Linked DNA regions of Coturnix japonica. The protein of the gene in region 1 purifies or fractionates together with the protein of each later gene. This does not show direct contact. Links are inferred from orthologs where the notes say so. Each region holds a gene or a part of one and is shown on either strand. Other genes may lie near its edges.

Region 1 (3,994 bases):
CTGGCATAGTCGCCATATTTGACCAACGAAGAGGTTTTGTTACCTGTTTCAGGGTCACATTCCCAAAGAACTCTTGAACGTGTGTAAAAAGTACATACAGGACACGGTTGCTGATCTGAAAGAAAGGGCATGGGAGTAGTTCAGATGATTTCTTCACATAATCTGCACCTGTGAAGCACAGTATCTTTCTCCAGAAGTGCAACGACCTTCCATCACTCACAAATACATTGAATGGTTTGGGTTGGAACGGATCTTTAAGATCATGTTGTTACAACCCCCTGCTATGGGCAGGGACACCTCCCTCTAAACCAGGTGGCTCAAGGCCACATCCAGCCTGGCCTTCAATGCTTCCAAGGAGGGGCATCCACAACCTCATGGGACAGCCTGTTCCAGTGTCTCACTATCCTCACAGCAAAGAATTTCTTCCTAATATCTAGTCTGAATCTACTCTCTTCCAGTTTAAAGCCATTTCCCCTCATCCTGTTACTACCTGCCCTTATAAAATGTCCCCTCCACAACTTTCCTGTAGGTCCCCTTCAGGTACTGGAAGGCCACTGTAAGGTCCCCCCAGAGCCTTCTTTTCTCCAGGCTGAAGAGCCCCAACTCTCTCAGCCTGTCCTCATAGGGGAAGTGCTCCAGCTCTCTGACCACCTCTTTCTTTTTGCTCATGCAAAGGTGGAAGTGGTAGCAATAGGTAAGCAGGAGCACCAAACATTCTGTGCTATGGATGGGCTGCCTTCTCTCTTCTCCCAAAACTTCAGTATTTTCACCAACTTCTCTCTCAGATTCAAAACAGTTTAAAAAAAAATGGCTTGAAAGGAGCTGTTATCGTATTCCTTGCTTTAAAATGAGACAGAAGCAAATATTTATTCAGATGCTATGTCTTCCATTAACATTTAAAAACGCATCCTGAAAGAAGGATTGGAATTCTGTATACCCAAGTCATAGAATCATAGAATTACCCAGGTTGGAAAAGACCTTGAAGATTATCAAGTCCAACTGCACCCTAACCATAGTACCCTAACTCTAACAACCCTCTGCTAAATCATATCCCTGAGCACCACATCCAAATGGCTCTTAAACACATCCAGGGATGGCGATTCAACCACCTTCCTGGGGAGCCTATTCCAGTACATAACTACCCCTTCTGTAAAGAAGTTCTTCCTAATATCCAACCTAAACTTGCCCTGGCACAACTTGAGGCCATAAGTCATCACTGCATCAGCAAGATCTGTTTGCAGTACAGGGTTCAGTGGCTTGATAGTAAAATTAAGCAACAGAATAGTCTTCACTGAGTCATCACTGCATCAGAAACACAGAAATCCTACATCCGCTTGAATTAGCAGATTAATTCAATGTTGAATTACTTGTGCTCACGGAATAAAAAAGCCCAGTAAGCAATCTTTGCACTGTTTTCATAACAGCAGATACAAGACTAATACTATGCAAGCTCACCTTCAGAAAGTCTTCCCCCTCCCTACTTTCTGTGCATTTTATGTTCTCAAAGTATAAAGAAGAGATTTAATTCAGCTTAATTGTATCAGACAGTGCCTGATTCACACATGCAAGAGAACTCCTATGAAGAAACCTTTCTTGTGCTGACACTCTGCTCTAGCACCTGTGTGAGGCACATACCTGGACAGTAGGGCTGAGCACTATAGAAATATTCTGGATGTTCATTTTTGTTTCCAGTTCCTTTGCGATAACGTGGTCCATATGCACAATGAGCCAAGAAATGAGGAGATGGTTACACTCCGGCAGCTCTTTCAGCAGCCTCTGGCACTCCTGGACTTTCTCAGCTTCTGTGCTCTTTCCACAAGCATCTTCAAAGCGGGGCATTAGCTCTTTGGTAAGCAAGTTTTCAGGCAGTTCACGTAGGTACTGCTTCAGCAAGCTGGCTACTGTATTGGGCTCATATTCTTCCAGGTTGGGAGATTCTTCTCGGTCATAGGCTGCTTTGAGCTCATCGACTTTTGACTTTATTCCTGAAAATATTTAAATAAAGAATTAAGATGATTTTTCAGCTCTACATATATAATAGTTGTAATACTCTTATTTATTTATTTCTTTGAGAAGCTCTTCTCCTTACAAATTAAACTAATTGAAGAATAGCTTTTAAAGATCATTCACATGTGACAAAACTGCAACTCAGGATTAACATGGTCACTGTATTTAAAAGCACTGACCTCAGAGCTTCTGCCTGACATCCAATCTAAGCCTTCACTCTTTGAGTTTAAAACCACTCCTCCTTGTCCTATCACTGTTCACCCTTGTAAAAAGATGATTCCCCTTGTTGTTTCTCTCCATTTAATTTCTCCCAAGTTGTTCCATAACAGCTCTCAACCAAACAGCAAGTATGTCCTTATCAACTCCAATACTGTGCAAGAAATTCTAAACGTGAGCCTTCCTCTGTGAAACCAAGCCCACACAGTTTAGTTTTCAGGTTTTCAGCTGGAGAAATCTCACACAGCATTTTGGTTTGAGGCAATGTATGAATAAACACGGGGAAGTTCTTCACTAGGAGAGTGGTTAGGCCCTGGAACAGGCTGCCCAGGGAGGTTGTGGATGCCCCGTCCTTGGAGGTGTTCAAGACCAGGTTGGACAGGGCTCTGGGCAACCTGATCTAGTAAATGTGTATGTTTGGTGGCCCTGCCAGGCAGGGGGGTTGGAACTACATGATCCTTGAGGTCTCTTCCAACCCGGGTCATTCTGTGATTCTGTGTGTGAAACAGGTGTTCATGTAATTATTCAGACTTGCCAGTATTTTTGCACAGTGTTTTTACAACTCAGTGACATTCAAATCTTCCTCAAGTCAGAAAAGTTTCTTTCTTAAAGCTCAAACACCCATTTGGCTTTCAGTGACTTACTGCACTGCCATATGTTGGCTCTGGTACAATAAACAAAGCTGGGTGCACCCAGCCCACGGTAAATGCCAGCTAAAATGTGCTCTATTTCATGTCCCAATAAGTTACTCATCACAAGTGCTGGTACAGTGCTAGGCCGTTGTCATTCAGAGCCCTCAATTTAAGTACTCTCGCACACACCAGAGGGTGCTATTGCACTGGAGAACACCTGGATGGTACAAACATCAAAAACACCTTATGGAAAACAAACCTCCCGTGAACATCCCAACTCAGCCTGCCCTGAAAATAATGTACTGCCAGAATGGTCTCACGGGTGAGACTAAGAAACTGCTGAGCATCCCTACCAAGTACCATGCAGACCATCAGCATAAGGACAGCTGAATGAAGACGTTAGCAATTGTTTGATCACTGCTCTGCAGCACTGCTAATAACTTGTTCCGAGTGCTTTCCCCCAAGTTCCTTTTCTCACTTGTTTCTGCTCCCTTGAACGTGCACACTGAAACACTTGCTTGGGTTTCACTGCAAAGAGTTCACAAAGGGATTGTTTTGTTTAACACAGCTACAAACCACGCTGCTTTATGTAAGCAGGTGTTACACAACTCCTGTGGTTAATTATCCTGCTGTGGCTAAGCTTAAATGCGAAACTTGCATTTTCTGCTTATTAGTGACTTTGCCCAAACAAAAGAAGCTTTTAAAGAAGAAAATTATACACAGTAAAAAGCAACAGTGAGAAGCTTAAGTCGTAAAATGGTTATTTCTCATCCTTGCTTTTCCCATCAACTAGAATAGCATTTCTCATGCAGAAGTAATACAAATAAAAAGAATACAAGCTTGCCAATGCAGCACATTTTATTCATACTTACCATCACCCCATCACAACAGGTCTAATTAGATATATTTTTACCTCCTTTAAGCAGTACCATGACATGAGCTACTTTTCTGGTATTTCAGGGTTTGCTTAGCTTTAGCCACCTGATTATCTTTCCAATAATTAAAATCAAAGTAGCTCTAAATAGCATCTCTAGGTGTTTAAAGAGGTAAGTCAATACGACAAGTGCAAAATAAAGAACCTGTCCGTCAGTACACTCAGAATACCTGAAACTCTGTAGATGCCTTCACACTTCATGCCA
Region 2 (4,443 bases), on another chromosome or scaffold:
GCCACTGAGCACCCATCAGCCTGAACTAATGTGCCTTCATAAGAACTACAGCACTCAATGACCATCAACATCAGGCACAGACAGGAAACTGAGGCAAACTGCTGGCAGACCCAGCAACATGGTGCTATCCTTTGTGCAGAAGAAAGGGGCACTGATTTTACTGCCTCACCCCTCAGCCTATCTTTTAGAGTCTTGGAAGCTACATCAACAGGGCAGGCCCGTCTTGAACACAGACAAGCTGTCTGTTCTGATTAGAGTGGGTTGCGTGGAGAACAGAATGTAAGTTGCATGGGTCAAGAAAAACTGTCCAATAGGAAAAATTAAAAGTAACAAAGCAGTGACAGGTTTGCCTGTGGCTGTTAAGAGAGACCACAGTACTTACGGCAGTGGGCATTGTCACTGTTTTCCTGCCATGGTCCCACTCAAAGAACTTAGAGAAACTAGGGCCAACACACTGATGGAGGTCCTCTGGTGTCTGGCTGGGGTGCTGCAGAAGGGAGTATTTGTGATGCAAACAGCACAAATACTGAGTTAGTCAGACCCTAATTTCACAGGACTGCTGTTATTAAACACACTGTAGTTAGGTAAAGCCCTGTGCCATCTCTATGCTGTTAATACCATTTCCTCTGACTAGCACCTTGTACCTGACAGAACCTGGCAAGCCCTGATGCAGCCCAGCCTTTGCTCTGCTGCACCTTCTCCAGGGGATTGATTCACTTTGCTCTTCTGAGTTTTCTAATTTGGGCTCCAGAGTTCACTTTCTAACACAACTGCTCTCTTTCCAAATGATATAAAACATATTGTTATAAAACAATGACAAAACACCACAGCAAAACATCCACTATCCCCGAGGGAACAGAGATTTCCCTATTAACAGTCCCCTAACACTCTTATCGTAATTATCAGCTATGCAGCTGGCAATAACTGCAGACCACAACCACGCAGCGTTCTGAGCACTGAGAAGATCGACACACGTATTCATGGCAGATTAGAGGAATAAAAGGTTTGCATGTTTTGTGCAGATTAGGAGGCACCGTTGCATGGTGTGGAAAGGATAAAGTAACTTCCATACTGTCTTCACAGGAGAGTTGTGATCATTTTTGGATCATTTTGTGGCCCTCCTCTGGATGTGCTCCAACAGCTCCATGTCTCTCCTGTACTGCAGTCTCCACATCTGGATGCAGTACTCCAGGTGAGGCCACACCTATTTAGAGCAGAGGAGCAGGATCACCTGCTGGCCACGCTTCTTTTGACGCAGCCCAGGATACGGCTGACTTTCTGGGCTGTGAGGGCACATTGCTGGCTCACGACCCAACTTTTTGGCAGGGCTGTGCATCACACAGTGCCCAGGCAGCTCCTTCAGCAGCAGCCGGCACTTTCCTAGAGACTGCTTGGCTCCTCTCTGCCCATGGATGCACACAGCTTCTCACACCAGCGCTGCCCTGCGGCACGGCAGCACTCCCCGGGGCGCTGCGGCCCCGCACCGTGCGGTGGGCGGGAGGGGGCGCGGCCTGCACCTTCCTGTGGCTGCGTAGCACCGCCTCCCTCCCTCCTTCCCTCCCTCCCTCCCGCCGCCGCCACACCTCCCCCGTCGGCTCGGCACCCGCTGCCCGCCGAGAGGCTGTGCCCCGCCATGGAGCAGGGGCCGGCGGGGGGGCCTGCAGCAGCCGTGTCCGCCGCGGGTGTGTTGGTGCCTCTGAGCGAGAGCGAGCAGCAGCGCTACTCGGAGCTCTTCTCGCGGTGCTGCCCGCCCCCCGAGGCGGCCGCCGGGGGCAGCAGCGTGGGGGAACTATTCCGGGCCTCGCAGCTGCCCCCAGACACGCTGCACCAGGTGGGTCGGGGCGCCGAGGGAGTGAGGAGGGGGAGTGAGGGGGGGCTGGGAGCTCGCAACCCCGCCGTGCATCGGCGGTGGCAGCCCGAGAGCTCCGTGTTGGGGGCTGCGGCGGAGCTCAGGTGGGAGCCGAGGTCCCGCGGGGTTGAGGAGGGGAGCCCCACTGCCGGGGGGTTGTTTGTTGGCGGCCTTTATTTGCCAAGCAGAAAGAAGCGCTGTTAGCGCTGGGTAGCAGCACGGCGGTACCTGGCTGCGGCCACAGGGAGTGGAACTCCGCTGTGTGCCGGGAGCTGTCAGCCCGTCTCTTCGTGGCTCCGCGTTACATAAATCCCTATCGCACAGGTGGAAGCGGGGATGTTTCTTGCGTGTTTTTTTTTTTCTTGTCCTCGCTTCGCTGTTTGCCAGTTGTGTAAACACAAAAGGCAGCCGTGCTGCTTGGCTTTGAGTCGCACCGTGGCCTTCGTTATGTGTGGAGAGAACAAGGGTTGCCCACAGAGCCAGCGCCGAGAGTCCAATTTCAAGTAGCAAGTCTTAGTTGCGGAGTGTGTTAAAACCCTGTCAGCAGATTTCTGTGTTTTTGGTGTAGAGTTGTAGAAAAACGCTTCTTATTTTTGCTATATAAGTCCTTATCCTAACTTTAAAGTAAATCTTGCTGTGTTATTGTGGTTCGCTTTGGGGGTTGTTTGGGTTTTAATGTGAAACTTAAGCCTGGAAACGCCATTTTTCAATATTCTGGAACTTCTTTTACTTCCCTCCCCCCCAGCTTTAGATTATTTCTAGGTATATTTATGATGTGAAGAGAATATTACCGAGAAACAGGTCTGTAATTGGCTTCAGGAATTGTCAGGTTAATAAGGCCTTTGGGACCTGGACTGTTTCTCTCCCCTTTCTTGCCCACCCCCTCTTGTTTATATGAGACCAATCATGGTCTGTGGCTGGAACTCCTGTCCCAGAGCCTGCTGCTGTCAGGTGCTCTTATTAACAGTCTTTTTTGAAGTGGAAAAAATAAATGAGTTATGAGTTAAAAAATAAATGAGTAACGGGGGAGAAAAAAGGGTAAATGTGAACCTTCTGATGTGAGAAAAGCTACTTCTTTTTTTTTTCAAGGTGCTGAGCTGGTGCTGTTGCCTTCAAGGTGTTATAGTTGGGTAGTAATGAGATAGAACAGAGAGACATGTTCAGAGAGGCTGTGGATGACCCATCCCTGGAGACACTCAAGGTCAGGCTGGACGGGGCTCTGAGCACCCTGATGTAGCTGTAGGTGTCCCTGTTCATTGCAGAGGAGTTGGACTAGATGGCCTTTGAGGGTCCCTTCCAACTCAAACCATTCAGTGATTCTGTGAAAGAAGGAGCTTTTTGTTATCCAGCTTTGATAGAGATTTCTTGTTGACTGGGAAAGGTGCTGAACTGAGTAATGGGAAATCTCCTCCAGAGCAGATAGGTAATGTGAGGGAATGTGCCAGAAGAGGAAGTGCTGGAGTAAATAGGAAACAATCCAAGAGCAGTCGGGTCAGAAGGAGCAGATGGTATGCACCCAAGAGCTGCGAGTCTCGCTAAGAATGAAGCGCTTGAACGCAGATTTATTAAACACAGGCTTGTTAAAATAAAAAATGACCCCATTTTAAAGCTGGCCATTGGTGAGTACAGCCTTTGCTCATTGTCTCTGCGGTCCCCAAATGCATTTGTGTTGTATGCCACATGCCAATGGACAGAGGTTTGCATGGATTTCAGGTAAAATAGAGCTTCCTGTAGTTACCATCGGCTGATCAGCAAAGAGATGCCTTGTGCTAGTTCTGTTTGCCTGCGTTACTGTGGGTCTGTGAAGATTCTGAGAAGTGAGGGAGAAGGAGGATAGGAGTCAAGTTTTACACTGAACTGCCTGCCTTTGTTATTAATTTTTTACTCAATTAATTTTCATTTGGTTGTTGATGCAATCTTTAATTCTAGTTTTTATACACTGTAGTCTTATTTGTGGGCTTGCAGTATCAGCACAGAGATCCAGTTCTATTAAGGAAGCGCGTTCCTTCCTCCACAAATGAACAAACTGTGTTATTTTGAGCTTTGAGGATGACAAGTACTAATTGTATGACTTTGGAGGCTGCACAGAGCTGCATTTTTTAGTTAGACCTCTCTGTCCAGTTCTGTGTGAATGGAGGATTCAGACCAGGGGGTCTTGCTTTTCCTCTGCATGGTCTGTGTGTTATTTTGTTGTTTGTGGTGACCTGTCTCTATAGTTACACTGAATTGTTTAACTGTCCTGTTGTGTTCAAAAAGCAGAAGTGTGAACACATGAAAAAAAGGGGGGAAAGGGAGGAAGGGAGAGAAATTGCAAAGCTGCTATTTGCTGTTTCATTGGAAAAATACCAGCAAGGGTTCACTTTTCCATCATTTATTTTTCATAGGCATGAATATCTACCTGTGTGGTAGCCAGGGTGGCATTGACTGTGTGTGCCCCGGTGGCGCAGTGGTAGAAGTGCCGCTTGCAACACCAGAGTCCTGGGTTCGAATCCCCTGTGGCACAAGTGGTAGAAGTGCTGCTCTGCTACACAGGGCTCGAATCCCGGGGGTTGGACTCAATGATCTCTAAGGTCCCTTCCAACCCGCACCAGACT

Evidence for each region. Proteins that work in one complex are often made in the same cells at the same time.
Region 2: the proteins of RALBP1 (region 1) and REPS2 purify together in Homo sapiens (affinity purification with mass spectrometry; 3 studies listed by BioGRID and IntAct, counting the BioPlex papers as one, with this or other methods). This does not show direct contact. The link is inferred for Coturnix japonica from reciprocal best matches to the Homo sapiens genes RALBP1 and REPS2.

Annotation. Positions count from the first base shown.
Region 1 is NC_029517.1:88,792,931-88,796,924, forward strand, and holds part of RALBP1 (ralA-binding protein 1), read right to left. Parts: coding exon 3,960-3,994; intron 1,986-3,959; coding exon 1,636-1,985; intron 116-1,635; coding exon 1-115. UniProt on the Homo sapiens protein: Multifunctional protein that functions as a downstream effector of RALA and RALB. As a GTPase-activating protein/GAP can inactivate CDC42 and RAC1 by stimulating their GTPase activity.
Region 2 is NC_029516.1:109,364,495-109,368,937, reverse strand, and holds the start of REPS2 (ralBP1-associated Eps domain-containing protein 2), read left to right. Parts: upstream 1-1,574; 5' UTR 1,575-1,633; coding exon 1,634-1,831; intron 1,832-4,443. UniProt on the Homo sapiens protein: Involved in ligand-dependent receptor mediated endocytosis of the EGF and insulin receptors as part of the Ral signaling pathway. By controlling growth factor receptors endocytosis may regulate cell survival.